Linked DNA regions of Mus musculus: regions 1, 2, 3, 4 and 6 are each reported to be linked to region 5. The links are microRNA targets in miRTarBase. Many come from high-throughput screens and were not tested one by one. Region 5 holds a microRNA gene; each other region holds the end of a gene's coding sequence. Distances are between the middles of the regions.
Evidence for each region. The annotated mature microRNA mmu-miR-467f reads AUAUACACACACACACCUACA and lies in region 5 at 1,710-1,730, shown strand. An mRNA with a match to its seed (bases 2 to 7 or 8) in the 3' UTR can be bound and repressed. Matches are read on the target gene's strand: a 7mer-m8 pairs with bases 2 to 8, a 7mer-A1 pairs with bases 2 to 7 and ends in A, and an 8mer does both.

Region 1: miRTarBase lists Crem as a target of mmu-miR-467f. The part of its 3' UTR that is shown has no 7-base or 8-base seed match.
Region 2: miRTarBase lists Chst15 as a target of mmu-miR-467f. The part of its 3' UTR that is shown has no 7-base or 8-base seed match.
Region 3: miRTarBase lists Grb2 as a target of mmu-miR-467f. Seed matches in the 3' UTR shown: 7mer-m8 at 3,090-3,096 and 7mer-m8 at 3,054-3,060.
Region 4: the mRNA of Ehf is a reported target of mmu-miR-467f. Seed matches in the 3' UTR shown: 7mer-A1 at 1,730-1,736 and 7mer-A1 at 1,351-1,357.
Region 6: the mRNA of Ereg is a reported target of mmu-miR-467f. Seed matches in the 3' UTR shown: 7mer-m8 at 1,757-1,763 and 7mer-A1 at 1,677-1,683.

Annotation. Positions count from the first base shown.
Region 1 is chr18:3,262,906-3,267,979 of GRCm38, reverse strand. Crem (cAMP responsive element modulator) reads left to right here. Exons shown (of 9, transcript NM_001110859.2): 9 at 248-1,626. The coding sequence ends at 392. Among named protein-coding and RNA genes, the nearest start is that of Crem, 62 kb to the left of the region's middle.
Region 2 is chr7:132,233,922-132,238,995 of GRCm38, forward strand. It overlaps Chst15 (carbohydrate sulfotransferase 15), which reads right to left. Exons shown (of 8, transcript NM_029935.6): 8 at 1,859-4,543. The coding sequence ends at 4,353. Among named protein-coding and RNA genes, the nearest start is that of Gm10584, 79 kb to the right of the region's middle.
Region 3 is chr11:115,641,116-115,646,189 of GRCm38, forward strand. Grb2 (growth factor receptor bound protein 2) reads right to left here. Exons shown (of 6, transcript NM_008163.4): 6 at 2,930-4,839. The coding sequence ends at 4,654. Among named protein-coding and RNA genes, the nearest start is that of Slc25a19, 15 kb to the left of the region's middle.
Region 4 is chr2:103,262,309-103,267,382 of GRCm38, forward strand. Ehf (ets homologous factor) reads right to left here. Exons shown (of 9, transcript NM_007914.3): 8 at 4,659-4,854; 9 at 1,125-4,563. The coding sequence ends at 4,464. Among named protein-coding and RNA genes, the nearest start is that of Ehf, 38 kb to the right of the region's middle.
Region 5 is chr11:69,632,079-69,637,148 of GRCm38, reverse strand. Mir467f (microRNA 467f) reads left to right here and starts at 1,630; the gene lies at 1,630-1,749. Fxr2 (fragile X mental retardation, autosomal homolog 2) reads right to left here and starts at 4,178. Exons shown (of 17, transcript NM_011814.2): 1 at 3,751-4,178. The coding sequence starts at 3,831.
Region 6 is chr5:91,089,343-91,094,416 of GRCm38, reverse strand. Ereg (epiregulin) reads right to left here. Exons shown (of 5, transcript NM_007950.2): 5 at 768-4,353. The coding sequence ends at 4,272. Among named protein-coding and RNA genes, the nearest start is that of Gm19610, 17 kb to the right of the region's middle.

The sequences.
Region 1 (5,074 bases), not on the chromosome of region 5:
TTTGATTTGGACCTTGTTGACTGTGAACTCTAATCGGGGCAGGCGATGCAGCATCCTCATAATGGCCATGTGGACTTGTAGATGGGTCTCTTAACCCTTGCTTAAGAATACAGTCTGCTGTAGAGTGTGAATTGGGAATACTGTTCCATGGGTTGGAATGCAGCTCCCCTCACATTACCAAGCTTGCTCTATTGCCAATAGCATGCAACATATGTTTTGTTTGCCCTTCTGCTTCTACTTTTTTCAGGGAAGCTGCTAAAGAATGTCGACGTCGAAAGAAAGAGTATGTGAAGTGTCTTGAGAGTCGAGTCGCAGTGCTGGAAGTTCAGAACAAGAAGCTTATAGAGGAGCTTGAAACTTTGAAAGACATTTGCTCTCCCAAAACAGATTAGTAGAAATATTTAACTATGAACTGATTACAGCATGTACAGTTGCTTTTGAATGCAATACAATATATAGCCGGCAAGAATTATGGCTTTTTCCTTTGTATCATTCATCTAACTTTCTAAAACTAACATTCCTAAGATGCTTTGTTGTATTTAATTTGCTCTTACCTCTAAGGTCAATTTTTTAGAAGAGACAAACTGTAAAAAATGTATGTAACAAATTCTTAAAATGAAGTATTTGTAAGACTTGTTCCAGTGCAACATATTTACAGTTCCCAGTCTCTCTGTCATGAATAGTGTCCTATGCAATAAAAATTTTGCAGGTTTTAAGAATCATTTTAGGAAAGGGTGATCAAAGGCAGTGCATCTCTCCAGTAGTAAGATAAAATCAACCCATAGAGATACCTCAGGAAAGAATGAAAGGAAGTGTATCCTGATGACATGACTACGTGAGAATAGCCTACAAATGAATTTATGCATTTATAGATTTTTATAATCGTCACTTTGTAAAGAAAGTATTGTATTGCTGTCCTTGGGTGCCACAGTTGAAGACAGTTTTAAATAGAACCATGTTGGTTGCTCTTTGTACTATTTGGTATTTATTTAAGTATCTGAGCATTTACTACAGCTTCCTACTATGTATGTAGTATGTGAATTTCTACAAAAGTTTGTGCTGCTTTGCTGTTATTTAATGAAAGAGACAACATATTTTCATTATCTGGAATGAGTTCCACAAGTATGAATTTATTGCTACACTGGATCAGCAGCCTTGCAAATACTGGGCCATTTCATTAGAGGACAACTGCAGGGCTCTAGGAGCAGAGTTCAGTGTGGAGCACTTGCCTGGCATGCTACATGTTCAGTTGAAAGGGAAGACCTCAAGCTCTGCAAATGGAATGGGGTCCAGGGGAAGAGGTTAGAGGTTAGCCTTTGTGCTGTACTAGGCTTCTTGCTGATCGTCTGGAGAGTTTCTGCTGATGACCCTCCATTGTGAATTCTTGCAACCTCAGGAATGTTAACGTTTAAAAAACAACCCAAGATGTCATTTTTGATTTTACAACTTGGATCAATTTTGTTTTGCTCTTTGGAATATAGCTGTGTACATTTGTCACGTAGGTTTAGGCTGGCCTTAAACTCACAGTTCTCTTGCCTCAGCCTTCTGAGTGCTTGGATTACGGATGTGGGCCAGAATATCCAGTTTGATCAAGTATTCTTTTATAAAATATTACTTTCTTTTTAATTGCCTGTGTGTATGTCTATGTGTATGTGAATGTGGGTTCCCAAGAAGGCCAAAAGCTCCCCTGGAGCTAGAGTTATAGATAGTTGTGAGCCTTCCAACATGGGTGTTGGGAACTGAACTCAGATATTCTGCAAGAGCAGCACATGTTCTAAATGACGGAGCCATCTCTCCAGGTCCATGATAAAATATCCTTATGCCAGAACATTCAAATGAAATTCATTACAATTGTGATAGCTTTGTTACTAGTAGCGTCCATAGTTGTTTTTATAAGGAAAAGACTCAAGGTATAAGCTCGGATCCCTAACCCTGTGCTATGTCATCTTTCTCTCACCAGCAGGTACGGATTAGACAGTGGGCTATAGTCGCTGCATTGCCTATGGCTGATCTCTGATTTGTTAAGAACCTGCCCACCTTCCTTCACTGTCAACAGGGTTGATAGTGGATCTGGTAGTGGGTAGGAGGTGGTTTGGCACCCAGTTACCATTTCTTTATCTTTAACTTTTCCTTACCTATAACTTCTAAAATGTAGGTCCTGGTTTTGTTTCTGTTGCCACAATAAAATGCTCTTGACAGAAACAACTTAGGATAGAAAGAGCTTAGTTTAGTTCACAATTCCAGGTTGGATAATCCATCAAAGCATGGAAGTCAAGGCAACAGGAATTTGAAATAGCTGGTCACACACACACACACACACACACACACACACACACACACACACACACACAGAGAGAGAGAGAGACAGAGACAGAGACAGAGACAGAGACAGAGAGACAGAGAGACAGACAGAGGGACAGAGAGTCCGAGAGACAGGGAGAAAATGACTATGCATACCTGGTTACCAGCTCATTTTCTTACACAATCCAAGACTCAAACCCAGTGAATGGTGTGTATCTATTAACAGAATCAAGGTAACTTTCCACAGACATAAGCCCATAAGCCAACCACATCTGGACAATATTTCATTGTGACTCTCTCCACAGGTGAATCTAGACTGTGTCAAGTTGACAATTAAAACTCACCAGCAGGGCTGGTGAGATGGCTCAACGGGTAAAAGCACTGACTGCTCTTCTGAAGGTCATGAGGTCAAATCCCAGCAACCATATGGTGGCTCACAACCACCCGTAACAAGATCTGACGCCCTCTTCTGGTGTGTCTGAAGACAGCCACAGTGTATTTACATATAATAAATAAATAAATCTTAAAAAAAATCTATAAAACTCACCAGCATAGGAACTAGAGAGATGTCTCAGGAGTTAAAAGCACTTGATGCTCTTTCAGAGGACTTGTACTTGGTTTGCAGTGCCCACATGGTGCTCAAATCTGTTTATAACTTCAGCTCCATAGGGTCTGATGCAGTTTTCTGATCCCTGTGGACACTTGGCATGCACGTTGCACATACATTCATACACAAAAATAAATCTTTAAAACATCCTAACTAGCCAGGTGGTGGTGGCAAACACCTTTAATCCCAGCACTGGGGAGGCAGAGGCAGGCAGATTTCTGAGTTCGAGGCCAGCCTAGTCTACAAAGTGAGTTCCAGGACAGCCAGAGCTACACAGAGAAACCCTGTCTCGAAAAAAACAAACAAAAAAACCATCCTAACCATCATAGCAGAAATACCAATTTGAGTTTTATTTTAATTTTTTTTTCTGTGGTGTCTCAGCTCTGAATTTTTTTTATCTCCTTTCTGTGATTTCTTTTATACTCTGCTGAGGACACAATACAAAAAGAAATGGGGAAAGAAAGCCCAGGTTTCAGGTGAAGTACAGTGCATCCCTTGGCCAGAGCAGTTGTTTGCTCTTGGGTAATATAGCAAGACAAAGGAATTGGTAGACCAGATGTCAACCTGTGAGGTGTTTCAGGTTAGAGAAGCAGGTGGCATTAAAAGAGGAGACTTTATGGAGGAGTTTGATTTTGACCTGGGAATGCTGGGAGCACTTAAATAGTAAGTAGCTTAAATAGTAAGGAGACATTTTTTTATATCACACAAAAAGTCCACATACAGGAGATCCCACAAGTACCTTAATTCAGCTACTTAAACAGTGGAATTTTGGCTAGAGTCTTTCCTCACCTAGCCCATCCTCCTTTCCTAGTTCCTGATCCTAATGTTGATGGCACACTTCTAGGCAGCAAGGCTAGAACGGACAGGCACTCACAGCATCTTGTCTTGTCTTGTCTTGTCTTGTTTGTTTGTGAGACAGGATTGGGTCTGGAAAAGTAGTAAATAGGCAACTAGGAATGGCTTCTGTGGACTGATCAGTGCTTAAAAGCATTCATAAAATTAAGGACAGCTTGGGAGAGAGCTGGAATTTGGGCTAAACTCTCAGAGATACACAGGAACTCATTTTCCTTCTCATCTAATTTCTTCCATAAACCAAGCCTTTGCCACTCATTCAGAACCATCAGGTGTTGCCTGTTGTCTCCCAGAGAGCAGAGTGAGAAGTAACTTGGAAGATTTTCATGAACATTATATGTATATCCTGTACTTCAGTGTCATGTGGAATTGAGAGCTGTCACTGTATCTCCCCCACCCATCTTCACAGTTTTAGAATCTAGGTTATGGGCTGTACAAATGACTCATGCTGGATTATGAGATTACAGCATGATTGTGGACACTTTATGATGGTAAGTCCCATATAATGGGAGGACACAGAAAATACCTTTATGGACTCTTTGTTATGTCCAGCACACACTCTCTTCTATGTGTCTAAAAGGCTCTTAAAACCAACACATTTTTCCCTGCACATACCAAAACCAGATAATTTTGACATGTGAGGAAAGCACAAGCGCCACTGGTTGGCTCTCCACAACATATCCTGATTCCATTCTGCTTTATTGTAGCAGCTCCTTGTTTCTAGAAACTCAAATGAAATGTGCCTTAGTTGTTTTTTGAGATCACTCATGTCCTAGTTTTGTTTCTGTTGCTGTGGTAGAATATACTGACAGAGAGCAACTGCACGTTGAAAGGGCTCATTTTATCTCAAGTCCAGGTTGTACTCCATCAAAGTAGGAACACCAAGGCTGCAGAAGCTTGAAGCTGTCATGTCACATCTACAGTCAAAGTAGAGAGAAAGAGTTCCTGGCTACTACTGCAATCCCTCACTTCAGACTATCTTCCCAGGTGATTCTACATTGTATCAAATTGACAATTAAAAGGAATGTTCACAACTTGATCCTTTGTAAACTTGACATGCAAAAATATTACTTTAAAGTCACAGTCTTTTATCCGAAGTCTCCCACTTACCTCATGAAATATAGGCCAACTTGAAAACTCACCAAAATCTTAGAAAGTCCAAAATATCTTAACTGAGAACCTTTATAAAATGAAAAACAAGTCACACACTTTCCACGTGTTCACAACTTTATTCTAAGCAGGAAGAATACACCATAGAAAATGATTTGTCCTATCACAACACCTCCACAAATCAGCAGTCAGAACACCAGGTCT
Region 2 (5,074 bases), not on the chromosome of region 5:
CTGGCAGCCTCTCAAAGCTGGAAAAGGCCTGGACACAGCTTGCCCTGGGATCACAGGAGATGCAGCCCAGCTCCCACCCTGCCTCAGCCTATAGTGCCTGGTCTGAGACTGCTGCCCTCTGGGACTGTACGATGAGAAATTCACTGTGTTTGAAGTCACCATGAAGACCTTAGCGATCAATGGGACAGGGCTGGGGTCATAGAAGCAAGGCCAGCCTGAAGCCATCACAGAGATAGATGTTAGCAAGGCTGCAGGCCATTCTTCCAAAGGCCTGGACTAAGGGGGTTACTCCTCAGAGCTCTCTGGGATCGCCAGCCATTTCAGATGAAGTGATTTTGTTGCAGCAGTGGCTAAAAGCTCACAGTCCCTGCCCCGCCACGTTCTTTCCCTGGTGCCCCTCAGGGGAGCTGGTTCCAAAGCTCAGGGAAAACCAAACTCCTCAAAGCTCATTTTTCCTGCAAGTCTCCACTAGATTAGCCTCACCCACAGGGCCCAAGGCTCTCCTCAGGATGCAGTCTCCACCCCAACAGAGAAATGCCATTCTGCACAGCACCACCCAGGCTGTTTCCTAGCAGCAAGGGTAGGGGAGAGCTCCAGGCACAGGGAACTCTAGCTTTCAGAAGTATGCCCTGGCCTGTCTGGCTTCTCAAATCCACCACCCGCTATCCTCTCAGACAGCAGCATTCTTGCTGAGGGAAGCCAGCCCCAGGCTGTGCTAAGTCTAGCTCCACACTCAACACATCACAATGAGGAGCAGGGCTTGGGAGAAAGGTGGGACTGACCAAAGGACCACGCTGTGCTCAGCATGATCCAAGCTTCTAAGTGGGAAGTAAGCCCTCTTGCAACTACTCCTCTCCTCAAATTGATGTGTTGACGTCCCAAATGGGTTGAGCCTCTGAGTAAAAAGAGAATTCTTTTTCAAAAGGTTATGAATTAAATGAGACCCTTAATGGTGACATCTTTATAAAAAGGGGAAAAGGAAGCCGGGCGTGGTGGCACACGCCTTTAATCCCAGCACTCGGGAGGCAGAGGCAAGTGGGTTTCTGAGTTTGAAGCCAGCCTGGTCTACAGAGTGAGTTCCAGGACAGCCAGGGCTACACAGAGAAACCCTGTCTCGAAAAACTAAAAAAAAAAAAAAGAAGAAGAAGAAGAAGGAGAAGGAGAAGGAGAGGAAAGGAAAGAGGGAAAGGTATCAGGGACCTGCACAGAGAGATGGTCATGTGAGGGGGGGAGGTCACAGAGCAGGCACAGGGAAGCCACAGAAAGAGGCCATAGAGAAAACAATGCACTGGCCCCCTGAGTTTAGACTGACACATGAGCAGTGACAGTAAGCATGGGTTGTGTGGTGAATGAATGTGAAATGTCCCCATGGGCTCCCATAGTTGAACACTGTTCATGAACACTGAACATGGTTGACCACTGTTGGTGCTGATTAGGAAACCTGTGGAAAGGTGTGTAAGGTGCCCTGAGTTACTTTGTTAAGGTGACCAACAATGACTGGTACACCCTCTCCTTCTCCAAGCTTGCCCATATTTCTTGAGTGCCAGCGGGACCCTGCCTGCCTAGGGATGAGTCACACTCAAGACGCACCAAGGATCTCAAACTCAAATTCTGAAAGCCCATTGTCACCTCAGTCTTAGATCCCTATGTCTGACGACCACGTGAAGGGCACTTGATGCTGGATGGAACCTCCCACCCTGACTCCCAACCACAGCAGGCCTCCACAGGAATTCCCCAGGGAATGAGTATGGCCCTGTGTCTGCTCTGGGACTGTCAGGAAGGCAGGGGAAGTGCTGACCTTCCCGCCCCGGGACTCACGCACGCGCACAGAACAGCATGGAAACAACTGGCCAGCAAGCTTGTGAAGGAGGACTCACTCTTGGCAGGCACCAGTTGTGTGGGTCCATCTTTAATTATTTTAAATATGAGTAAAAGTACAGAATAAATGTGACTCGCATATCATACCTTACACGACAAGGGAGGGAAGGTGTCATACACCCTGGCACACGGCTTTGGGAATACGAAGTGTCTTCGGTACCAGGTCTGTGTTTCGCTTTGGTTTGGGGTGACAGGCTCAAGAGCCATCACCCAAAACACTGCCTGTGCTCTCAACAAGAGGGGGCTCCAACCGAGCAAAAGCAAAGGCAGTGCCGGTGACCCCCGGGGAGGGAGCAATAGAGAGAAGACTGGGTCCGGATGGCCACGCATGGCGGAAAGGAAGGGGCTGCACGTATAAAAAAAGATCAGCAATGAACCAAATAATATTGGAAATAATACCTTTGGCAATACTTCTGTAAGAAGCAGAATCACGCGACATGTTATTCACATGCATAGGAGTGCGTCAGAAAAAATCTCTTAGAGTCGTGGTTGGTGTGGGGCAGTAAGATATGTCCTGGAAATGACAGGCGAAGGGTTGGAGAAATTAATTCATAAAGGCATCATGTCTCTAATGGAGGAGAAGCCCCATCAACAAGACAGCTGAGAGGGCCCTGCTCAGTATAAGCACGAGTGTTCGCGCGCACACTCGCGCGCGCACGCACACACACACACACACACACACACACACACACACACACACACACACACGGTATTCCAAATAAATACTCTCTCGTGCTCTTTCTCACACGCTTGCGCTTGAGCTTGCGCTCTCTCTCGCTCTCTCTCTCTCTCTCTCTCTCTCTCTCTCTCTCTCTCTCTCTCTCTCGTCATTTCTTCCCAAAGCATCCTTGTACTCAGGCTAGATTTTCCCACTGGCTGCCGAGCCAAGTGGCCACCGTGAGAGAAGGGAGAATTGTCCTGGAACACAGGCCACATGACACACAGCCCCTTCAGTAGCAGAACGAGCCCAGTCCATGCTGATGCCCAGAGCTCTCCCGGAACCTTCCAATGAGCTGAGAGTCCCATCTCCAACAAGGGTGGACCGCAGCAGAACTCACACAGTCGAGCAACTGCACAGCCTCCTGCTGCCAAAGCCCAGCTTTTCTCACACGTCCAAGTGACAGTCGGGCATGTGGTGTGTACACTTTCTGACGCTGGTGAACAGGATCCTGACCTGAGAACACAGCTTCACAGGCAGCATCCCTTGGCAACGCTCCAATGAAAAGCTTTGTGACATCCCCACCTTGTCCTGTGTGCCAAGTGGGTTTAAGTTGTTCTCTCTGGTATTCCCTGGGGTCTTTTTTTTTTTTTAAAATGACAAGACTTTCAGCATATCCTTTGCGAACCAAGCTGCTAGCAGGCCTGGAAAGGTTCATAAAAATCAAAGCTATCTCCTAGTGACACCACATGTGGCCCGAGCTTAGTTTGTGAGATGTGTTTCTGAGGACATTCTAAGGGTGTCTTGAGACTCACCCTTAGTGAGTTACAGAACTTTGGCTGCACATGACAGAGAATGTGGATAAAGATTCCTCCAACAGGAAGACAGGGGGGAGCCTGTAACCAGCCAGAACCAAAAACATCCCCACACTCTCCAGTGACCCCCACAAATGGGGAGGGCTTCACTTCCTTCCTTTTCCACTGTTCGATGCCTTGAGGTGTTCTGTTCTGGCATTAACAGCAAAACTTCCCTTTCCAAATATAAACTGAAGTCCTTAAGGAAAACATCCAAGGGAGCAGAAAAGAGAGGCAGGGCCAGTCAAATGCGAGAAGCAGTTTGTTTTAAAACGCTCCTTCTCTACGCTGGGCATAAACAAAGTGTATGGGCAGAATAGGTCAGAGAGACGAGCCTACTGCCAAAAGCTGACTTCTGAGTTTCTTCTGAGCACAGCAAAGGGAACAGGGCTCATTTCTGATGTCACCGAAGGGCTGACTTGGGAATACGAACAAAAACGAAAGAGCCTCCATTCTCCAAGCAGCTCTGTTCTCTGTCCACATGGGGTTGTCGATTTATGCAAGGCCTGCTGGGATATAACACGTGAGGGGCAGCCCCAGAACATGGCCTTAATCGGATCCCAGAGCTGTCCAACCCTACACCCAGACAAACTCTCCTGGAGGAAGGAAGGCAAGGCTGGTCTATGGCCTCCCGTAGCTTCCTCTTCCTACCCACTGGGTGCCAGAGATCCACTGCCCTCCTGAGATCCAAGGCACTCTGGGAACAGACAGAAGCCTACCCCCAGTGTCGTTTCCAAGGCTTCAGGTGGACGAGCCTTGCAATCAAGAGCAGAGCTGCTGAACATGGCAAGGAAAGCTTTAAAATAGTTCCCACACCAGGTGCCTTGGACATGAGAAGAGGATTGGGTGGGGCTCCAGCGGCTTTCTCCACGCTGTGGGTGACAGTTCTCCGCCTGGAGACTTTTAAAGTCATGGCAATGACAGAGTCAGTGGGCCCAGCTTCTGCAGAAGGGACTCAGCTCTCACGTTGTCTTCCAGGCAAATGCTTCGTCATCCAAGACCTGTGCCAGCCTTGTGTTGAAAGGCCCATAGAATTCACGCAGAATCTTCTGGGTGATGGGCCACATGGGTCCCAGACTACGATCCTCAGGACGCCGTGTGTTGGATGCAGGGCTCTTGGTCATCAGAGCTTCCTGCTTCTCACTCAGAGGCCCTAGAATGAGAAGGAAAATGGTCCTGTAAGGTCCTGGAGGTGTCACTTGAAATGAAGGGGACTTCGTATGAATCCTAGGTGACCCTCATGCTCAGCCAAGGCTTTCCTATGAGATGTGGTTGAACAGGAAAGGTGGCTTAGTGGTTAATAGCACTTGTTCTTGCAGAGGACCTAGCTTCTATTCCTAGCACCTACAAGGGGCTCATAATCATCCATAACTCCACTTTGAGGGGATCTGATACCCTCTTCTGACCTCTGAGGGCTCCAGGTACACACATGATATATATCTATATCTATATCTATATCTATATCTATATCTATATCTATATCTATATCTACACATATACACATACATGCAAACAGAACAAACATAAACATAAAATAAAACAAATAAATCTTTTTAAAAATAAAAAAAAAAGATATGGTTGGATTCATTTGGAGAAACCAAGGAAGGGGGAAACCACTAGACACTGCAAAGTAATTCTAAAGCTCAGGCTCATGCCAGCCATCAGGGGAGCCCTGCTGGTAGTG
Region 3 (5,074 bases), 46 Mb from region 5:
TGTGCTTCAACAGTTACACCTCCAGCTCCACCTATTAATAACTGTCCAAAGAACTATACCAACAGATCAACCTGATGCTATCTTCCCTAACCACCCATCCTTACCCCATTTGCATACCCCACTTCCTGTCTGAATTCACCCAGCTCGTGGCTCACACCGAGGTTTAAGCATCTAGGCAGAGGAACACCTCCCTGGCGGTGCAGTCGAAGACCCGAATGTGGTGATTTCCAGGCTCGGGATGACTCAGTGACGTCTGCAGCGCAGGAGTGGAGGAGGCTGCTCATTTGTGAGGCATAAACGTGGCTCTCCTCAGCCAGTTCCTCATGGGGGAAGTCCCCTTGATCCAGAGCAGAAGAGGCCATGACCCCTATGGAGGACACTGTCACCAGGGGTCCTGAAGATGCCCCGAGGAGATGGGAGAGGCTGATGTACATCCTCAAGCCTTGGGCAGCACAGAGAAGGGAAGCAGAGGCAGACAGGGGAGTGCTGACTCAGACCGAGAGCACGGTGCCTTTTAGGCCCCATGCCAGGTGTGCTGAAAAGACTGTTGCTGGATCTGCTCTCAGTGGTCTCTATTCGAACAGAGTACAGTATGCCTTGTAAATTGGCTCTCTAGATCTTGTCTCTTCATGTAGCCAGGGCTGGTCTAGGAACCCTGGTCTTACCATGTAGCTCAGGTTGGCCTAGAAGTCTCCATCTTATTCAGTACTGGGATTATCAGCAAGTACCATCTCTCTTAGCTCCTCCAGCCTGTACTTAATAGACAAGGTCTCACTGTGTAGCTCTGCCTGGCCTGGAGATGGATAACAGGGAGCAGGCTGGACTTGAACTCAGAGATCCCATCTGCCTTTTCTCCAGAGTACTGTGCTCCAAGGTGTGTCATGCCTGGCAGTCACACGCACACGCGCACACACACACAGTGTCATAGTGTATAAAAGTCAGAGGCCAACATTCCCACCTTCCATCAGATGGCTCTGAGGGTTTGGTAGCAAGTCCCTTCTACCTGCTGCTCGGCCAACTCGACTGGGTTTAATTAATTTTAAGTGGGCTGGCCAAACCCCAGTACTCAGAGTCATCAGCACATGGGACTGTCATGTCAACCATCAACAATGTCCTCCTCCCTTAAACTTTGTCACAGACAATGGAGCTCTCAGTTCTGTAGCCCAGAGGGACCTGGGATGCAACCTGATCCTCCTGCCTCAGCCTCTGGAGTGCTGGGTTACAGGTGTGAACAGCCATTCCCTGTTTTGCTTAGGTTTGTGATGGTAACTACCACAGAGAGGCTGAAGAGACCCCAGAACTCCACACTGGGCTTCATGGTATAGGCCGTGAACATGGTCTTGGCTCTTAGGAGGTGGAGGCAGTTCCCAGGACCTGCATGGCAGCTTACAACCTTCTGTAACTCCAGTTTTAGGTCTGATCCTGTAGGGCACCATACTCACATAGTACACAGACATATATTTAAACACTCATACACATAAAATAAAAAATGTTTAAGAATCTCCAAAATTTTGAAAACAAAACCAAATAAACAAAAAAACAGATCCAGGGCTGGAGAGATGGCTCAGCGGTTAAGAGCACTGACTGCTCTTCCAGAGGTTCTGAGTTCAATTCCCAGCAACCACATGGTGGCTCACAGCCATCTGATGCCCTCTTCTGGTGTGTCTGAAGACAGTGACAGTGTACTCATATACATAAACAAATCAACCTTTAAAAACAAAAAACAAAAAAAAAAAAAAACATTGGGTCTGAAGGCCATCTAGCCCATAAGCAGGCCCAGGAATGGTGTCAAGAGGAGACAGCTGGCTGGTGCTGTCAGATGACCTAAACCAATGTAGCTGTCCATCCTAGCATTTCCGATCTCACTCTGCACCTGGCTCCTGGTGCTCGATGAAGTCTTGGGACCAGGAGGGAGCAGCAGGGCCACTATGATGGGCCAGGTTGGCTAGTGGTATCCTCAAGGTTTTGCATAGCCTAGCCTTTATCATGAGACACATTTGAGCTGGCCCTGGGCACACATACACAGCCTGGATAACTCACCAGGAATCTGACCCAGGGGAGGGGCAGGACACACACTGTGATCACCTGAAGAACAAAGAGGGGGCTCAAGGAGAGTGTGCTTGTTAGCAAGTGTAAAACACTGGGTTCTCAGCACTGGGGAAAAAATGACACCCCCCCCCCCAATCAGGAAGGGGTTAAACTGACACAAAGGGAGTTCAAAGTCAGCCCAAGCTCTCTGCTCAGCTGGCCCAGACAAGCACAGCTCCCTCTCACATGCACATCACCGCAACGGGGAGGAGCAGGTGGCACCCGGGAGCCTCCTAGCCACCAGTTCAGGTGGTTTGCTCGGCAGAATCCTCTTTTGTTCAAGCCTCAACCCTTACCGCGTCATAGCCAGCACCGTGTGGTTACCAACTTTGTCTCACCCAAAAGACCACTGTCACGGCTGTGTCATGTAGCTGCCTCACCGACTTCCTCAGAGATTAGCCTTTCCACACCCTCAGCTCGGAAGGGAAGAGGAGCTTTCCAGCCCAGCTCTGGGTTCTTCTGAGTTCTTGTCTAAACCATTTTCCACATAATGAGCTACATCACTCGTCCTAGGTTCACAGGGTCTGGAGATGCCGGCCAGAGTTAACATACTCTAAGCCTTTACTTTCAACATTTGGGAGCAGAGGCAGGAGAATCTCTGCGAATTTGAGGCCAGCCAGGGCAACATAGTGAGACCCCATCTATAAAATAAAATCAGGACGGGCAGTGATCCCAGCACTTGGGAGGCTGAGATGGGCGGATTTCTGAGTTCAAGGTTACCCTGGTCTACAGAGTGAGTTCTGGGACAGCCAGGGCTACACAGAGAAACCCTGCCTTGAAAAAAATAAATAAATAAAAAAATAAACTGAAAACACCATCAGGGAGAAATGAAGACACACAGTTAAGAACTCATTGTACGTTTATTCACAGTTAATCACTACCTACCAAATTGCTGTCCGCAGAAGTCAGAGTAAGTACATAGTTGGTTTTTTTTTTTTTTTTATTTAAACACTGATCTTTAAATATATACACACAAAACTTAGTTCAGCAAGGCTTCATGATATACACCAATTCCAAAATAAAACAATCACATGGCCCAGGTGTGACTCCAGAGATTACTTTATCATCAGCAGGGAGAGCAGCAGCGGAACCAGGAGAGGTGGGGACCCAGAAGGCCGCCTCCGAGCCTTAGGGGCGCCCTGAGCTGAGTCCATCTCACAATGCTAAGTCCAGGGGAGACTCTACCCGCAAGAGTCTAGCAGCCCATGGATGCACCGACTCCAAGGGAAGGCCTGGGTGGAGCCCTGCTTCTGCTGTGGGAAGGAGGCAGGGTGGAGAGAACGGTGTGCAGGCACGTGACTACAGAGGACGGAAAACTCACAGAAGACAAGAGTTAAAAAGCTGTGCACTGGTCTTGGTCTCTCCTACCTCGAAAGGCTTTGTGGGATGGAGGGGTGGGGTGGGGGGAGGGGCAGCACAACCCACTGCCAAGAGAGATGCGGCCGACCCCACAATCCTGCTATCTGCACCCTTGGACAGGTGGGGAAATACGAGCGTGAAAAATGAAAGGCCAATTCTCTTCAAGCCCATCTGCATGTAGGCCTATAAGAGTGAAGGATGCCAGGGCTCCTCTGACCGTCTTGTGTTTGGATCAGTAGCTCCAGGCATAGAGAGAGCAGACCATAACTGAGACACGGAGACAGAGACTCTGATGTCCACTGAGTCTGAGCTGAAGCGAGTGTTGCAGCTCACAAAGTAAAAGCTGAGGCTTCGAGACCTCCGGCCCATTCAAGATGGGAAATACACTCTCTGCTTCTACCAGCTCCTTTCTCTGTCCTCTTTCCCCTGCCCTGAGAGGAAAATATTTACACAGGATAGGAGACGAATCAACTGAAAAGCTCTGGACTGTCTTTAACTTATTAAAAAAAAAAATGGTACAAATACCATTTATGAACACCCTTGAAATAAGACAAAGGCACTATTTAAAAAAAACAAACAAACAAACAAAAAAACGTCAAAACACCTGAAGGGAAGCAGTGGGAGAGGGGAGGGCCTGCAGTCTGACTCTCAGGAGACCGGGGAGGACAGTGGGCCTCCTTCCCCTAATTCCAACTTTGATGGAATGCTCCAGGCCTGAGGCTGGAGGCGGTACCCCTGGGCATCTCGGGTGAACCCCAACCAGGGCCCCAGAAGCACTGGCTGCCCCTGTGTGTGAGGAATCCGGCTCTTTCAGTCCATCCATCTCCACAGACATTTTGCATAGAGAAAATACCAGCCCACTTGGTTTCTTGTCTTTTATTATTGGCATCAGCTGGACTATATGTGGCCTTAAACATCATGCACTGGACAGGAAAGAAAGAACGAGAAAAAGGACACAGGAGGGGAACAGGGGTAGCGGCGAGATTCCGTAATAAAAACTGTAATTCATTCAATAGGTTAAGTTTTGGCATTATGAAATCAAACACCCCTCCCCACCCCCCAAAGTTGCAACCCAATGAGAGGGTCACCCGTGGGACCCAGCCAGGTGTTCTGCGTTCCCTCACAGGCTGTGACAGGCAGCGTGTGGGTGTAATTCTTGTGAACGGTCTTAACTTTTCACTTTCTTTAAATAATCTCTTTTGCTTCTTAGACGTTCCGGTTCACTGGGGTGACATAATTGCGGGGAAACATGCCGGTCTGCCCGTGGCAGGCCCCTTTCCACCAATTGGGATCTGAGTTATCCATGACATGAATGAAGTCTCCTCTGCGAAAGCCCAGCTCGCCATCCTCCTGGGGGTCAAAGTCAAAGAGCGCCTGGACGTAGGTTGGCTGCTGCAAGAGAGAGCAGGGAAGCGGTGTTTCTCATGCTGCCAGGCGGCCTTGGAAGCTGGACTCCTGGCTCCCCCAGGGAGGGCAAGCATGTGGGAACCCGCCCACTTTCCAAAGAAGCCTCATACCTCACTCCCTCCGCTCTGACACACTCCTAAGTCCTAGGTGGGATTAGAGGAATCCTTTATTAACATTTAAAACCCACAAGGGTATATATACCCATGTCACTAAGAATAGC
Region 4 (5,074 bases), not on the chromosome of region 5:
GACTTTGAGAAAGTTGGTTAACCTTTTCACTATTTTGCTCAATAAAATGAATTAACGTATCACCAGCTTGCATTGTATATATTACCCAAGCAATTAGCTATTATTTCCATTACACCCGTGGGGTTAGGTGACAGACTCAGGTCCAGAGAGAAAGGTGCCATCATAGAGCAGAGCTCAGGTATTGAAAACAATATGTGCATTATCTTAGAAGGCAGAATGAAAGAGGAAGCTATGCTGCATCCCACAACTGAGAATGTACACCCAGCACCAAATGCTGTCCTACAGTTCATTCTTGGGACAACCATCATTTGAACTGTGAGTTAAAGCATGAACCTTTGAACTCCCCAACCTTACACAAATTGAGGACTGGACCCTTCATGTGTGCCTCCAGGAGTTCTGTGCTCTGGTCTGCCCTGATTGGCTTCTCTTTCATTGTGCCCAACCATTGTGAGTCTATTTCTGCAAAGTCTACTTACTGTTCATTAGATATGACAGTAACATGCCTGCCTCTGGGCCTTCACATTTGCTGGTCGTTTGGTATGCCACACTCTTCCAGTCATCTAAGGCTCCTTCTCTTATAACTCTTAGTCCTTTACCAAAATGTCTTCTCAGCCCTCCCTAAACTAGCCACACAACTCCACTTCTTATCCTCTCCAATCCTTTCCCTTGGTCCACACATCTGATGTGCTAGGTTTGATTTTCCTTATCCATTTCCACCTAAAAGAATATAAGCTACATTAGAGCTGAGTATCTTTGTCTGTTTCATGCTCTATGTCTGGCACAGAAGACATAAATGCCAACAAGTGGAGACTGGAAAGATGGCTCCACAGAAAAAAGTGCTTGATGCTGTTGTAGAGGACCTGGATTTGGTTCTCAGAACCTGCGTTGGTACTCACAACCACCTGTAATTACAGTTCCATAGAACTTGACACCTCTTCTAGTTTCCAAGGACACCTGCACACACATGGTCTACATTCAGAAAAACAGGCACACACACACATACACACAAAAAATCTTAAAAAGAAAGAAAACCACTGAGTGCTAAGCAGATACCAAAGCTGTCCATGTTCTGTTACAACATTTAGTCTGTAGGGTGGATTATCCCAAGGAAGGAAACACATCTCCAGCATGGCCTCTGTGCTTTTTATTAGTGTTTTCTGGGACCCATCAAACAAACAAAACAGAATTCTTTCATTAAACATAAATTGTTTGAATTTAACAGCTTAAGGGGAAAGAGTCATGATTTAAAAAATAATAAAAATAAAAATGAAAATAAAAATAAAACAGTGGCAGAAGGGTTGTCGCCCACCAATTATCAACCCAGAAGCCAGGTGGCAAGAAGAGTGAGATTTATACAGATAGCTACAGAATGATTAATCCAAATTCAGCTGAACTCTGAAGTCTACATGTTTCAAAAGTTTGTGAGATACAGTTCCAAGAAGTTTGGTTTTCTTAATGGTCTCCCTTATTCCAGAAACTGAGTCCTGAGTCCCCAGCTGAGGGTAACTCACCTGTTAACACTAAGTTTGCCATGCTGGTGTTTCCTTCTCTTAGTCAGTATTCCTCTGCAGGTCCAGATCGTGTGACTTTTATAGTCTATTCTCTCACATATACTCCTCACATATATGGTGTTTCACTATGCACAAGGCACCCAGTAGGTGCTTTAATAAAGTACTGAAAAGTAATGTAAGTGCTTCCCCTTCTTACTGTTCTCCCTTTTCTTATATTTTTATACATTAAAAAAGACATACTTGCAAAATGAAAACCTAACATGCATGACTAACCTTATCAAAATATCCCTCAGCATTTTTCAAAAAGGAAGAAAAAAATAACAAAAAATAAAAACCAACCCCTAAATACCAAAACTGAAAATGGGTTCCTGCTTAAATAGCAATTGACATCATATAAACACATTTATAATCTTCGTTGATTAAATAGATCAAGGGTTCGTTACTGGCATCTTGTAACCAGGTTAAGTCTCACAGTTCTAAAAAGCAACAGAATTCTCATCCAGCAGACACTGACATGTGGAACCAAGCAGGCTGTTTGAATTTCTTTTCAGCATAGGTGGGAGGCAAAGGAGAGTGTCACAGTAAAATGTTCTCATCCTGGAAGGTTTAGTTATTATGCTCTGTTCTGAAGAAGTGATTCACATCCCAGTTATGAATATGACTGATGGGTTCCCAGCCAGAGGAGTCTCCCAGAAGACAGTCATCATTCATTCATGAGAAGTTCTCCTGTTGCATCCCAGGTATGAGGATAACAGAGGTGATCAGACATGCTCCCTGCCCTTGGCGAGCTTACAGTCTAATCAGCTGGGAACTTGAAGGAAGGCTCAGTGAATGAAACTCAGGCATTGTCTCTCCTGCTCGGCATACCGAAGAACCTGTGGACCTGTTTCTGGGATCCAGGACCTTGCTTAATTTCATCAAGTCCTATAGGAGTCTCAGATGATCTGAGTCTTGTGAAGTATTAATGGTCCATTACTTGATTTCAGTTCCCATGGAAACCACTAATAGAACACTTAGGAATATTCAAGAAACTATATTTAGTGATCCTGTGGCCAATTAATCTCAGATGAACTTAATAACTAGGTAACGATCCCCTAAAGAAAGAGGTGCTTTTCTGTAGGACTTTCATGTCTTGTTTTGTTTTGTTTTTTTTCAAACTGTGGTGGGAAGCACACCACTACACCCCAAATTGGCATAGCTTGATTACCTGGAATTCTCAAAGTCATGAATAGCACATAGAAAACACCGCAAATTCAAGCCAAGACAATAGATATGCAGAGAACTTAATACTCCCGTCTATTTAAATGGGAACTGGGTGCCAAGAAACTGCCACTCTCAGCCAACAGCATAATCTGTTTATCTGCAGAACTGTTCCCACTGGTCCTCTCCAGATTCACCTACTCTCTGACAGCAATAGCTCTATAATGAAGTAGGTGTAGGAAGGGTCAAATCCAGTTACAGGAATAAGAGAACCCAGGAATAAATGAACCCAAGACATGTGGTCTGGCCATCCTCGACCACAGCCAGGGAAAGACAGGGAAGGAGAAGCAGAGAGAAAACTGACAGAGGCCCCTAGTAACTTCACAAACACACACACACACACACACACAGAGAGAGAGAGAGAGAGAGAGAGAATCACACAGAGACATCCATAGACTCTGCCTTAGGCACTGTCTTCTGCAATATCTGCATTCTCTGTGCAAACAACTTCTCTTGCACTTTCCATACATCATTGCATTTATTTGACTTTGGTTTTCATGTGAAGCTCTGAAAAGAATCTCCTCCATTTATTCTCATCCTGCTGTCCCTACTATTTTAAAAAATAAACATATATTGACTTCAAGGTCTTGCTTTTGCTTTACTCTAGAGACTAGAAGTGTCTATAGATCTCTCTATTCTGAGACTGAACGACTGCCTTCATACTGTCCATTTCAATTGGTGGTCCTCGCTCAAGGGTACTATTGTCCTCCTAGAGACATTTGACAATATCTAGAAACACTTCAGATTGTCACAGTTACAAAATGCTGATGGAGGTCATGGATATCGCCACACATTTTACAATGCCCAGTATAACCCTCACCACAAAGAATGACCCAACCCCAAATGGCAACTCTACCCATGGAGAAACCTTGAACTACAGAGATACAAGAGCATGCTCATCGATCATTTCCAGGCCACTATTTTCCTGTCCCACTTAATTTTCAATATTTGGACTGAACTCTTCAATAGCTAGAAGTGACTGCATGTGGTAACTGACTTTTTTAACCAACCATTCAAGGATGAAGGGTCTACATGAAAATTGTCCATAACTGAGGATAAACTCTTCACCTGCCGTATTTAAACGTTCCCAGTCCTGTGATCATGCTGTGCTTATAGGCCACTCTGGACTGTCAAAGTTCCTACTCTCCACTCACTATCTCCCAATTCAAGTCAAACTTCCCAGCATCTTTTGGGTTGATCCCACCAATCTGAGACCCTGGACTTTGTCCTCCCTACCCAATCCCATTTCTCTTGAGGTCACACAGATGCTTAGGTGCAGAGAACACATTGCCTTTCTTTTCTAAACCATTTTACACTTGAAAACATTTAATGCCCTCATTTCCTATCCCTTCCTCTTAGCAAGAAGCACAAGGCTACAGGCCCTGTTGTTCTTGGGGGTAGAAAAGAACTTCACGAAGAGGCAACAGCAAATCACAATCACATACAGCTTCATAGTTCACAGAAAACTGTGTACATTTGTTCCCCACAAAAGGACATACTTCAAAGTAACAAAATAATTTTTTTTTTATCAACTGTAGTGTTCCTTCTTCCCGTCAGAAGTAGATTTTCTTTGTCCCTTCATGGTACATAAATATCACAGAAAAGTAGTCTTTGAGATATTTACGTCCGGTTCTTCATTGATCAGAATCCATTTGCTGTGTGTTTTGGTTTGTGTCCCAAGGGCTGGCAGCCTCAGTTCTCATTTTCTCTCCATCCACGAGCATTCTTCCCAAACTTATAGACCAGCCGTCGTCCATCCACACGTTCCAGGATTTCTCGTTTGTAGTAATATCTGTAAGAAGGAAACAAGTAAGGTGGCCATTCAGCCTGAGCGGGCAGGGAGCACCAGCTCTTGGCCTGGCCATGGAAGAACGTGAATTAGCTCACCTCATAGCCCGGCTGAGCTTCTCGTATGTCATGCTACTGTTATTTTTCTTTTTCCCCCACAGCTGAGCCACAGCTTCTGACTTCAGGAACCTGAAGATGCCTTCCGAACGGTCTTCCCATTTGATCAGTCCTGGGTTCTTGTCTGGGCTCAAGAGAATGTCTCGGATGAACTCCCATAAGTGAGTGCCTCTTGGGTCTGGTGGAAAGCAAGACACAATGGCTTAGCAAGGGTGCAAATCAGAGAACAGGACAGAGAGAACGAATGTGGAGTGACAGCCTCTGCCTTGAGATATAGAATCACCAAATAGTGCTTTTAGAAGGAACAACTAATACAGCTGGGGACTGGGGAATCTCAGTGGTTTAGCCAGTGCCACACAGTTTGACTACTAGCAAAGCCAGGACTAAAGAATCGCTGT
Region 5 (5,070 bases):
GGGGGGTTTGGCTAGAATATAGTTCCGTGTGATGTGTGCCTAGCAAGTATAAAGCCCTGATTTCAATCCTCAACATCAAAAGCAGTAAGAAAGCCAGATGCTTCAAAAAAAAGGCTAACAATATTCAAGGACCAGCCCTAAGTACAGTAACTAGGATAGTGGCAGAGCTTAGGAGAAAATGTACCAATAATATTCTAGAGAATACAGAGTTCCCACCTCACAGACCTGGCCAGTCACCACTTACAAAACTATTCTTTCCTTATAATGAGAACATCTAACCCTGAATATTGCTTCAGATACGACCTGCTTTGGCTGTTTGGGGGGAGCCTGAGGCAGGAGGGTCTAAGAATTGGAGGTCAGCTTAGGCTACGTGCTAAGTTTCAGAGTAACCTGAGCTATCAAAGTATAAAAATCCTGTCTCTATATGGGGAGAAATGTTTTTAAAAATGAAAGAAGGGAGGAAGGGAAAGGGAAAGGAAGAAAGAAGGAAGAGATCGGAGGAGGGCTACCTGGCTGAGGATGTACTTCAGTGGAAGGCTAAGATGAGACCTCAAGTTCAAGGTTAGCCTTATCAACAAAGCAAGGCTATACAATAAGACCCCATCTTAACAGGTTGGTGGTGGCCTAAACCTTCCAAGGCCAGCCTAGCCTACAGAGTGAGTTCCAGGGCAACACAGGATATCCTGCCCCCCACCCCAAAAAAAAACAACAAAAGACAGAGGCAGGCGGGTTTCTGAGTTTGAGGCTAGCCTGGTCTACAGAATGAGTTACAGGACAGCCAGGGCTACACAGAAAAACCTTGTTTCAAAAAACAAACAAAAACAAAACAAAACACATTATGAAGCTGGGGTTGATGGTGTGCACCTGTAATCCCAGGTCTTAGGAAAGGCCACAGTAAACCAGGAGTCCAAGGTCATCCCGGGTTAAAAGCCCAAGCCACCTGAAACCACCTTAACAAAACACATCACATCCTGACAGAAAAGCCAAGTTTGATAGGATAATTCTAAAATAACTTAGACCTCAGATCTGATATTTACTGGCTCTAGAAAAATCACAGTAAAACAGTTTTGTGAGAGGAGAAAAGAATCTCCCCAAACGTAAAAGATCTAAAAAGTTAGTATCCCTTACTCACACCAAAGTTTGCTGAGTCATAAATATTAATCAGCAAGGTTTGAATAGGTAAGTATCTACATTACACTTAGGCAATGTCTTTAACTCAGTCATGGAGCAGAAAGTGCTGAAGTGGCCAGAATACAAAATCTACACTCAATATTTGGCTTTTATTAACTCTATACTATCAAAGAATCCTGTCCCTGCTTCCCTCAAATCTATCACTGCTCTGGCCCACAGAATAAAAGGATAAAAGAGAGACTTTCTGTTGGATACCCATATGTGTAACAGAATTCATGTCCCAGCCCAACCATGTCATACAGTTAATTGGAACTGAGCACTCATCTGTCCCAGCTGTGCATGGCTCCTGAGCTTCCTTAAACCAAATGCAAATATCTTATCTTGATCTCATACTCAATTTAAGAACCACTTTTCAAACTAAGAGTAGTTGTGGATGCTTTTAATCCCAGCACTCAACAAAGGCAGACCTATCCCACAGAGTTTGAGTTCAGGGCAGCCACGGCTACATAGAGAAATCCTGTACCCAGAAATCGAACGGGGGTGGGTGTGTGTGTAGGTGTGTGTGTGTGTATGTATGTATATACACACACACACCTACACACAGCTTTTTTGGAATTTTTAACATTTTGATGTTAGAAGGATACAGATGAAGACTAACATATCGAGGAAAAGAGAGCATAATAAAGAGTACTTTTTGGGTTTGTTTGGGTTGTTTTAGACTGGATTCCATTCCCCATGCTGGTTTTGAACTTCAACAATCCTACTTTAGCCTTCTAAGTACTAGGGTTAGAGTATGTACCACCATACCCAGCCTGAGGAGACTGTTTTAACAAAGGTAATACAAATGTGGGTGAAATAGATATTAAAACATTAATGTGTCCTCTCAGAAGCCAAAAGAATTAAAGACTTTTGCTACAGAAAACAGAAATGTTAGAGACACTGTTCTGGTCTGAAGAAAAAGTACCAAGAGTTAGGAAAGTGACAGAATCAGCTAGGAGCCTTCTTCAGCTATACACAGACTAGACAGGTAGACATCATCAAGGATACACAGGAATACAGAAATACCAAGCTAAAAAGACCGAGACTTAGTTGAGAAGCTGCATTAAAGCTAATAGGTATGTGCACCCATAGGCACTGGGTAAAGAACTTGATCAGAAAAGGGAAAAAAATGGCCTGGCCTTTATAATGGATAACTAGCATATCAGTTGAAGTGAGGGTAGGAACCATCTACAGGGGTAGGGCAAACCTAAGTCTTTTTTCAGCTACAAAAAAGATACAATTTCATAGTAGAGTCAGAGAAAGTTATTTCCAAGGGCATAAGAAAGTAGAAGTTCTACTAGGGTAGGGGGACAGACAACCTGAGGAAACCTGAAGAAAAAGGGGCTCTTCTCACCCATCTCATGCTATGGAAATTCCTCTTTCTCTCCAGGATGAAGAGTAAGAGAGGGACCAAACGTGTCCGGGACAATTCCACTCATAAAAGTCAAAAGATGTTCAGAACCCCACTGATCAGAAGAAGAAAATATCTGGGGCGTGGGATCCAGAATAGACTCAGGACAGATACAGAAGATGGGGTGGGTGGTGGATAGAAAGAAGGAAAAAACAAAAGTCTGGTCTGGCATGGTGGCTCAACCAGTAACGCCAGAGCTGTAATCCTAGGCTGAGGAAGAGTTCAAGTGCAGCCAGGGAGGGGATCTTGTCCCAACCACACCCCTTAAAAAAGTTCACAGGAATCAAATCTTAGGCAAAGAAAAAGCTGATTAAAGAAGCAATTCTGAAAGATACTTTTTTTCTTTCCAGAAGGATTGTCAACAAGCAGAAATCTGTTAGAATAAGAACTTGTTGAGATGGCCTTTGAGAGACAGTGAAGCTTAAACTTACCAAGAAGATAGAGGAATGACCTAAATATATCTAGAGTCAAAGAGATAAGCGTGAATCCATCCCTCATAGGTGATTTTGGAATATAGGTGTGGTGGGTGACAAACTTGTCCAACAAATCCACTTTATGGCTGGCTGATAAAAACCTGAGGCCAAAGATGCTAATGCTAAATAACACAGATGGGTTTTGACCATTTCTTGTCAGCCTGGGAACAGGAATTTAAGACCAAAAGTTGAGCAAATGGTCTAGAGCCAGTAGGCAGAAGGCTCCCTGAAGACCTAATGTGGGACAGTGGACCTTCCCAAGGGGGTCATGTAGGAAAAGAATGCGAATCCTCCATGTGCTTGGGCTGCAGGGGTGATGTGATTAAAAGCTGAAGTATCGCCTACACTAAAAAAAAAAAAAAAAAAAAAAAAAAAAAAAAAAAAAAAAAACAAGAAAAGTCGATTAGAAGCTAGGAAAAGGGCTTTCTCCAAAGGGACCCGGGGCTCCCATCCCCGCACAGGAATGACCTGATGGCCATGTTTTCAGCTGATAAAAGCAGGTGTAACAGCGAGCTCAAAATAAAAGCACGAGGGTTAACTCCCACGATCGCCACGGGAGGGTTTCGAGTGGGAACGTGGGTCGAAGGTTCTAAGGGTCAAGACCAAGCTCCAGAAACTCGATCCCGCTCCACTCTTCCCTGCCTCGGCTGGGGGAGGGGGCTAAGGAGGGTGGCCCGGGTCGACGCGCCGTCTCACCTTGTAGAAGGCCCCGTTGGAGCCCCGCACCTCGACGGGCAGTCCCGGCTCCACATCCCCCCCAGAGGCCAGGCCGCCCATGGCGCCGCCACCACCTCCGACTGGCCCGGCAGCAGCTGAAACAGAGCCCTGAGTGCGGGCCGGGCCGGGTCCCCGGCGTCTCCCTGGAGGAGGAGCCGGAGGGGGAGCCGCGGGGGGCGGGAGCCGGGCCGGCCCCACGGCGGCCCTGCTACAGCCGACGAGCAGGGGGCCGGGGCCGGGCCGCTCCCCGTCCGCCGCCGCCGCCGCTGCCTTGGTCTCCGCCACCGTGAGGGAAACGGCCGCCGCCGCCGCCGCCGCCTTCGTCACCTCAGCTTCCGCCCGCCGGCGCCCCCGCTGCTGCCTCGGTCCCGGGACCCGCCGCTGCCGCTCCACGGCCTCCACCTCCCCCTGCTGCCGCCGCCTACTGCGCAGGCGCACAGGGCACCCGCCCGCCGCGCGCGGAGCCGGAGGGCCAAGGCGCAGGCGTCTAGGCTAGCGACCCAGCTCCCGCTCGCCAGCGCGTCAGGGCTTCCACATTCTCTTGCACTCTCTCACGCCCCCTCCTGGTCGCCTCTCTGCGCTTGCGCAGAACGAGGCGAACGCTCTCTGTACCACTCCAACCTTCCACTGTCCCTGTCCCTTCCTTTCCCCGCCCCACAACACTGGAAGCAAACCAATCAAAGGGAGAGGGGGGCCGCGCTCGCTGCATCGGATTGGACTTCCGCCTCCACAAAGTGAGCCCCATGGAGCCTGGGCAATTTAGGGATGGGCATGCGCCCGAATGACTGCTTGGTCACTTTCACCACCTTTGTCTTTCTTGGTGCGCACACTCCAAAAAGGGGGGGGGGGGGGGAACCAAAAGGCAAAAACTGCCCAGTGCGCAGGCGCTGGGCTTTGGTGTCCATGCGCATGTGTTGACTCTCTGCATCCATAGGAGAATCAAGAGTCACTGTTGTTGGCTTAAGTAGACTTTTTTTTTTTTTTTTTTTTTTTTTTTTTTTAAGTTTTGTGAGACAGGGTCTCTTGTGTCCTAGGCTGACCATGAACTAACTAGGTAGTGGGGGAATGACCTTGAATAGGTCCTCCAACCTCCACCTCCCAAGTGCAAAAATTACAGCCATGTCATTACCATGCTTGCCCTAAGTTGACTAGTATTCTAGTAAATTTAGTGCCGTATGAAAAACAAAATGCCACATAACTTGATGCATAAATTCTGAGGGGATTCAATACAGGAAAAACTGTCATGGAGTAACAAAAGAGAGAGAGAGAGATGGCTCGAATACGAAGCTTAACGGGAAT
Region 6 (5,074 bases), not on the chromosome of region 5:
TATGAGATCTCAAAATCTCCAATTAATAATAATTCTTGTTCCCCCTGCCCAAAACAAAGCAAAACAACAAAACAAAACACTGAGTTAGATTGATGCTAATTCTCCACTGAGTTCTGTTGTCTCTGACACAGTCAGAATTGTAGTGGCTTGAGGGTCAGGAGACCTCATTTCTCAGGGTAGCTCCACCCATTGCTTTTAGTTACTATTCAGTTGTCATAGGCTATGGCCTCACTGTTCCCAAGCTATCAAAGGCTCAGGGAGGTCATAAATCAGTAAAGACCTCTAGAGGGGTTCTTGGTTTGTATGACTTAGTGGTCAAGTATACATTTAGTAGCCACTACAAAGGGACAACAAGAAATGCCTTGCAGATTGTTGGAGCAATGTATAAGGAAGTACATGTGGCCTAGCTACTGTTTTCTCCTATGGAAAGCCAGGAAACTGAGTCTTTGGGGCACAGGTTAAGGAATCATGAGTATTCTTCTGGCTGGTACAGTTCTTAAAAAGCCATTTGTCATAGGGCATATTAAAATACCCATTAGCATAATCTTTGAAAACATGGTAACACCTAAAATCAATGACTCCTTTTATTGTAACACTTCAATATATTAGCCCCTAAAATGAGGTACATATATGGGATCTTTCCCAAATTAAGAGCACTGTGTCTTTCTGTTACCACACCTTAAAACTCCGACACTACTTTCAAGCCCCCCCCAATATGCTAGGACACAAATAGGGAAGGGAAAAAGGAAGAGAGACTTCAGCCTTTTTATGTGTTTGTTCTTTTATTTTTTCCATAGCGATCTTGGCCAATTCCTAACAAAAAATAAATAAAAACTGACAACAACTCATACATTATAGTGTCCTTCACTATGTCAAGGTACATGACTATCAAAGCTGATATTAACTGCAAACAAATTGATACAATTCAGTACTCTGATAACATTCATAATCCAATAAGTTTTAAGGTGAACACAATACAACTTTATGTTTCACTAGAATCTTTAATAGAAATTTTATACGAGCGATTCTACAGATTTACAAAGTGCAATGGCAGAGTGCAAACAGGCAAAAAGAGAAAATATGCTCTATGACATTCAAAGGCATCATGTGTCAATAGCAGAGATATCTTAGACAAATGTAGTTTTCCGTTAGAACTTTAAAATGTAGCCTGAAAGTGCTGTTTATGCTCCCCCTTTCCCAGAACATTAGAAAAGATTTAAAAAACGGGGAAATCAATCAAACTTTAAAAGAAATCTACAAAATAAAAAATTGAACCAAACGTGACAAATTTGGTTCAATAAAAAGATTTAAAGGCAACTTTTCAAATTACTGACGGAGTGGGACAAAAATTAAGACACTAGGCCATGTCATATATTTGCTAGAAACAGGTATCAATTCAATAATTGACATCTTTTGGCAGGCAAATTTAGCTAGCTGTCTTCAAAAGGACTCAAAAAAAAATCTTTGGCTTTTCTCACACAGTTTGACTCTTGACATAGAGGGGGTGAACCAGATGAAAGCAGTATAGTTATGGTCTAGTTACAAAGATGGGTGCTTTAGGTAGTTGGGGGTCTCATTTTTAAGGTAAAACTTTACTGTCAAATACAGAGCATGATGTCCTTGGTCACGGAGTGGATCTACTGGACTATGAGGTAGTCTTGATGGGAGACTGTAAGTTATACAATTATGCACCTGGGGTTGCTTTGGTTCTCAGTATAGTGTGTGTACTACCCTTGTTGATGTCCCTGTGTGTGTGTATACACAATATAATGGGAAATCTGTGTATGAACTGGTTGTCATCTTTTTTTAGGCTTGCTTAACATAATCTTCACTAGAACAATGAGTTTTTAAAACATGTTCACCCGACACCAGGAAGCTCCATCATCCTTTTGCATTATTTGTATGTTTTTAGGGGATAATAGGTGTATCCCAACCATAGTTTTTGCTGGACATGTGTAAGGCTCTGACTTTTATTCCCAGCTTTGAGGTCAAAACAACAATAGTAAAAAAAAGATACAGAGACGTAAATTGTTCCTGAGTTCTTTTAAAACATATTTAAAAATACAGAATGCTACCCCAAGGTTCTTGCATCTAGTTATGTGGTATGCCCAGGAATGCTCATAGCAGACCATAAGCATCATACCATATCATATACCAATATACCAATATCTAAAACGCCTGTTTTCAGCTTCTGTAGATAAACTGGATGAGTTTTAGCCCAGTTCTTGAAAAGCTTTAAACCTTTGTCTGGAGACTGGAAACAGGTTAGTGTTTCCTTTACCCAGTTGATGTCATTGGGCTTTCAAAATGTGTTCTCACACAGGATGCTGACTGTCCTTCAGCCAAATCAAATGGCAAAGAAATACACTTTTTAGATCTCACTGACCTTCATTCCCCTTTGTCCTTTTAAACATGAGTGTGGTGTGCTGGTTACTTCAGAAACAAAGAGCTGTCATTCTGCAAAGGCTGGAGCTGGTGTGTGCACAAGTTAGTGCACCAGAATGCCTTGTGCGCTGCTTATTCAATCTTTCCCTCATAGCAAGGCCAGGGCTTTGGATGAGAGCTGTGTGAACCTTCCAGGGATTTCCATGACTGGCTCCATGGAACATCAATGATTGGTCCCTTGGCACTTTAGAGGCCAGAGGCAACTCCTGATCTTTTTGTTACCTTAAACATATGCCAGGAAAAAGGTGGAGGAAGGATCGGCCCTCCCTGACCTGGTATGTGTTCCAGGGAGATTCCACCTAAGGTTGAGCATTTGGTGGGGCAGCCTCCAGGAAAAGGTGTTCTAGCAGTGGCTCTCGAGATAGCTGCCTGGAATCCTCTCAGTGACTCACGAAGACCTGCAAGCTGAGAGTGGAGGCCAGCCTTCTGTCTTTCCACAAAGGCAAACAAAGGACGAAGAAATGGGGCAGGCTTCTCTTTAGTTTCCATGGGTATGGATAATGAAGTCTACATTTTAAAAGCTTTCAAATGTGTTTCCCCTTTGGAAAAATAGATTGTGATTTATTTTTTCCTGTATTTTCTTTGCTTCCTGCATTTGGATATATGTTTTTTAAATGAAGCTTTAAAATCTGTAAAAAGATGTTGTCTGAACTGTGTATTGTAAAAAACAAAACACAAAACAAACAAAAACAAACAAACAAACAAACAAAAACAGAACAAAACAAAGAAAGAAAGAAAAACCATTTTGAATCTGGGCACCGTAATGTATGACTGTAACCCAGGAGGTTATAGCAGGAGAGTTAACCATGAGCTTGAGGCCAGTCTGGACTAGAGTGAGACTCCATGTTAAACAAACAAAATAACAACAACAAAACAACAACAAAAAGCAAAAACAAAACTCCTCTTGAGCATGAAATACAAAAGTACGTTTCCATATCAGTCAAGATCTGGTTAGCGCCCGCCCTCCTGTATTTTAAAAATACAATTACTTTGATTTGGATTCTGCTTTAATGCTACAATCCTTCAGTAAATTCCCTATAAAAATAAATACTCTAAAATGGGGTTCAAATTTGTCTTCAGATGTGGATTTTCTGATTGATATTCAAAGCAACAACCTCACATGATATACTCTACATAGGTGGAGCAGCTAATGTTTGTTAATGAATTTTTCTTTGTTCCCCTAGACACATCTGAACCCAATAGCAGAGATACTGAAGAGACATCTTGTCCAGGACTAGCTGGTTTGAGGCACATAAGTTATGTTTACCTCCTCTAAGTCCCATTGTTATTACTGTTTAATACATGATAATAAAGTCAAAGCAATTATCACAGACATAAGAAGTAGAAAATAAATTACTTATGCAATTGATTTGACTATACTACGAGGCTCGCCAACCACTGTGCCAAGCCATAATTCAGTCAAGTCAATTATCACAGACAGAAGAAGAAAAAAATAAATTACTGATGCAATGGACTTGACCATATCACTAAGCTCGCAGGAATGTCACTTGCAGACACCTCCCAAGCCACAGATTGGACATTGCTCTCTCTAAGCACTGCATCAGCTTAATGAACTTTGAAGCTTTTCAATAAAGCATTGTACTCAGGAAATTCTTACAAAAATATCAAATTTCTTTTGATATTAAATATTTTACATATAATATATTAGCAAATATATTTCTGTCAAAAATAAAACACTTTCCAATTGTATTAAAAATATAGTTATTGACCTAACAGATGACCCAACATAAATATTATTAACATGAGAAAATATTGACATCAGCCAGGCACACTGTGAATCCTTGTCCGTAACTTGATGGCACTGTTCAGACCTGTGGCAGCACTGGGTCCCCTGAGGTCACTCTCTCATATTCCTCCCTCGATTTTTTACTTTTTCGATTTTTGTACCTGTAAATAAACAGAAATGAAACAACACTGTAACTAACAGATATAAAAACAGGCCCTGAAATAAATACATAGACTCCAAGAGCTTATGTAAAATGCCCAGACAGAGGAGGTTTGAGTCAGGTAATGGGTAAAGCAAGAAAGCAAGAGAACGGTGTCCCATTGTCCAACCGTTTAGGTAAGAAATGGACATGGTGACACAGTTAACACTGTACAAGTGTTTCTCCCAGGGCTTGACATGGGCACAAAGCTGAGAAATGACAGGAGTGACTCTCCAGCATCTTTCTCTATCAGTTTTGCTCACCCGTATTAAGTTCTGGTACATATAGTGAGGAAGGCATCATCATCAGAGAGCTGCCTAGTACAAAATCTAAACAATGACTTTCTGGGGGAAAAAATCACTACAATCTGTACCAACTTCAAACTAATAAAAATAATCTGCAAACACTTTTATTAACACTATTATTCTAGTATTCTCAATTTTACAGGTCCAGTCAAAGTAAAAACCCTGACAATCTTTAGTTATATTTCTTTTTAGTTATCATTTTGTAATAATACCACTCACTGTAAGCGAAGAACCTTAATTATTATAGGATGAGAATTTCTGTCTGTATGTTATGAATAAATTATGTTCCTTACTTGAGTTTTATATGCACATAGGCAGACAGTAGAGGTCAGTGACTGAATGAAACCCCGGTGCTATGCAGCAAAACATCTTTGCTAG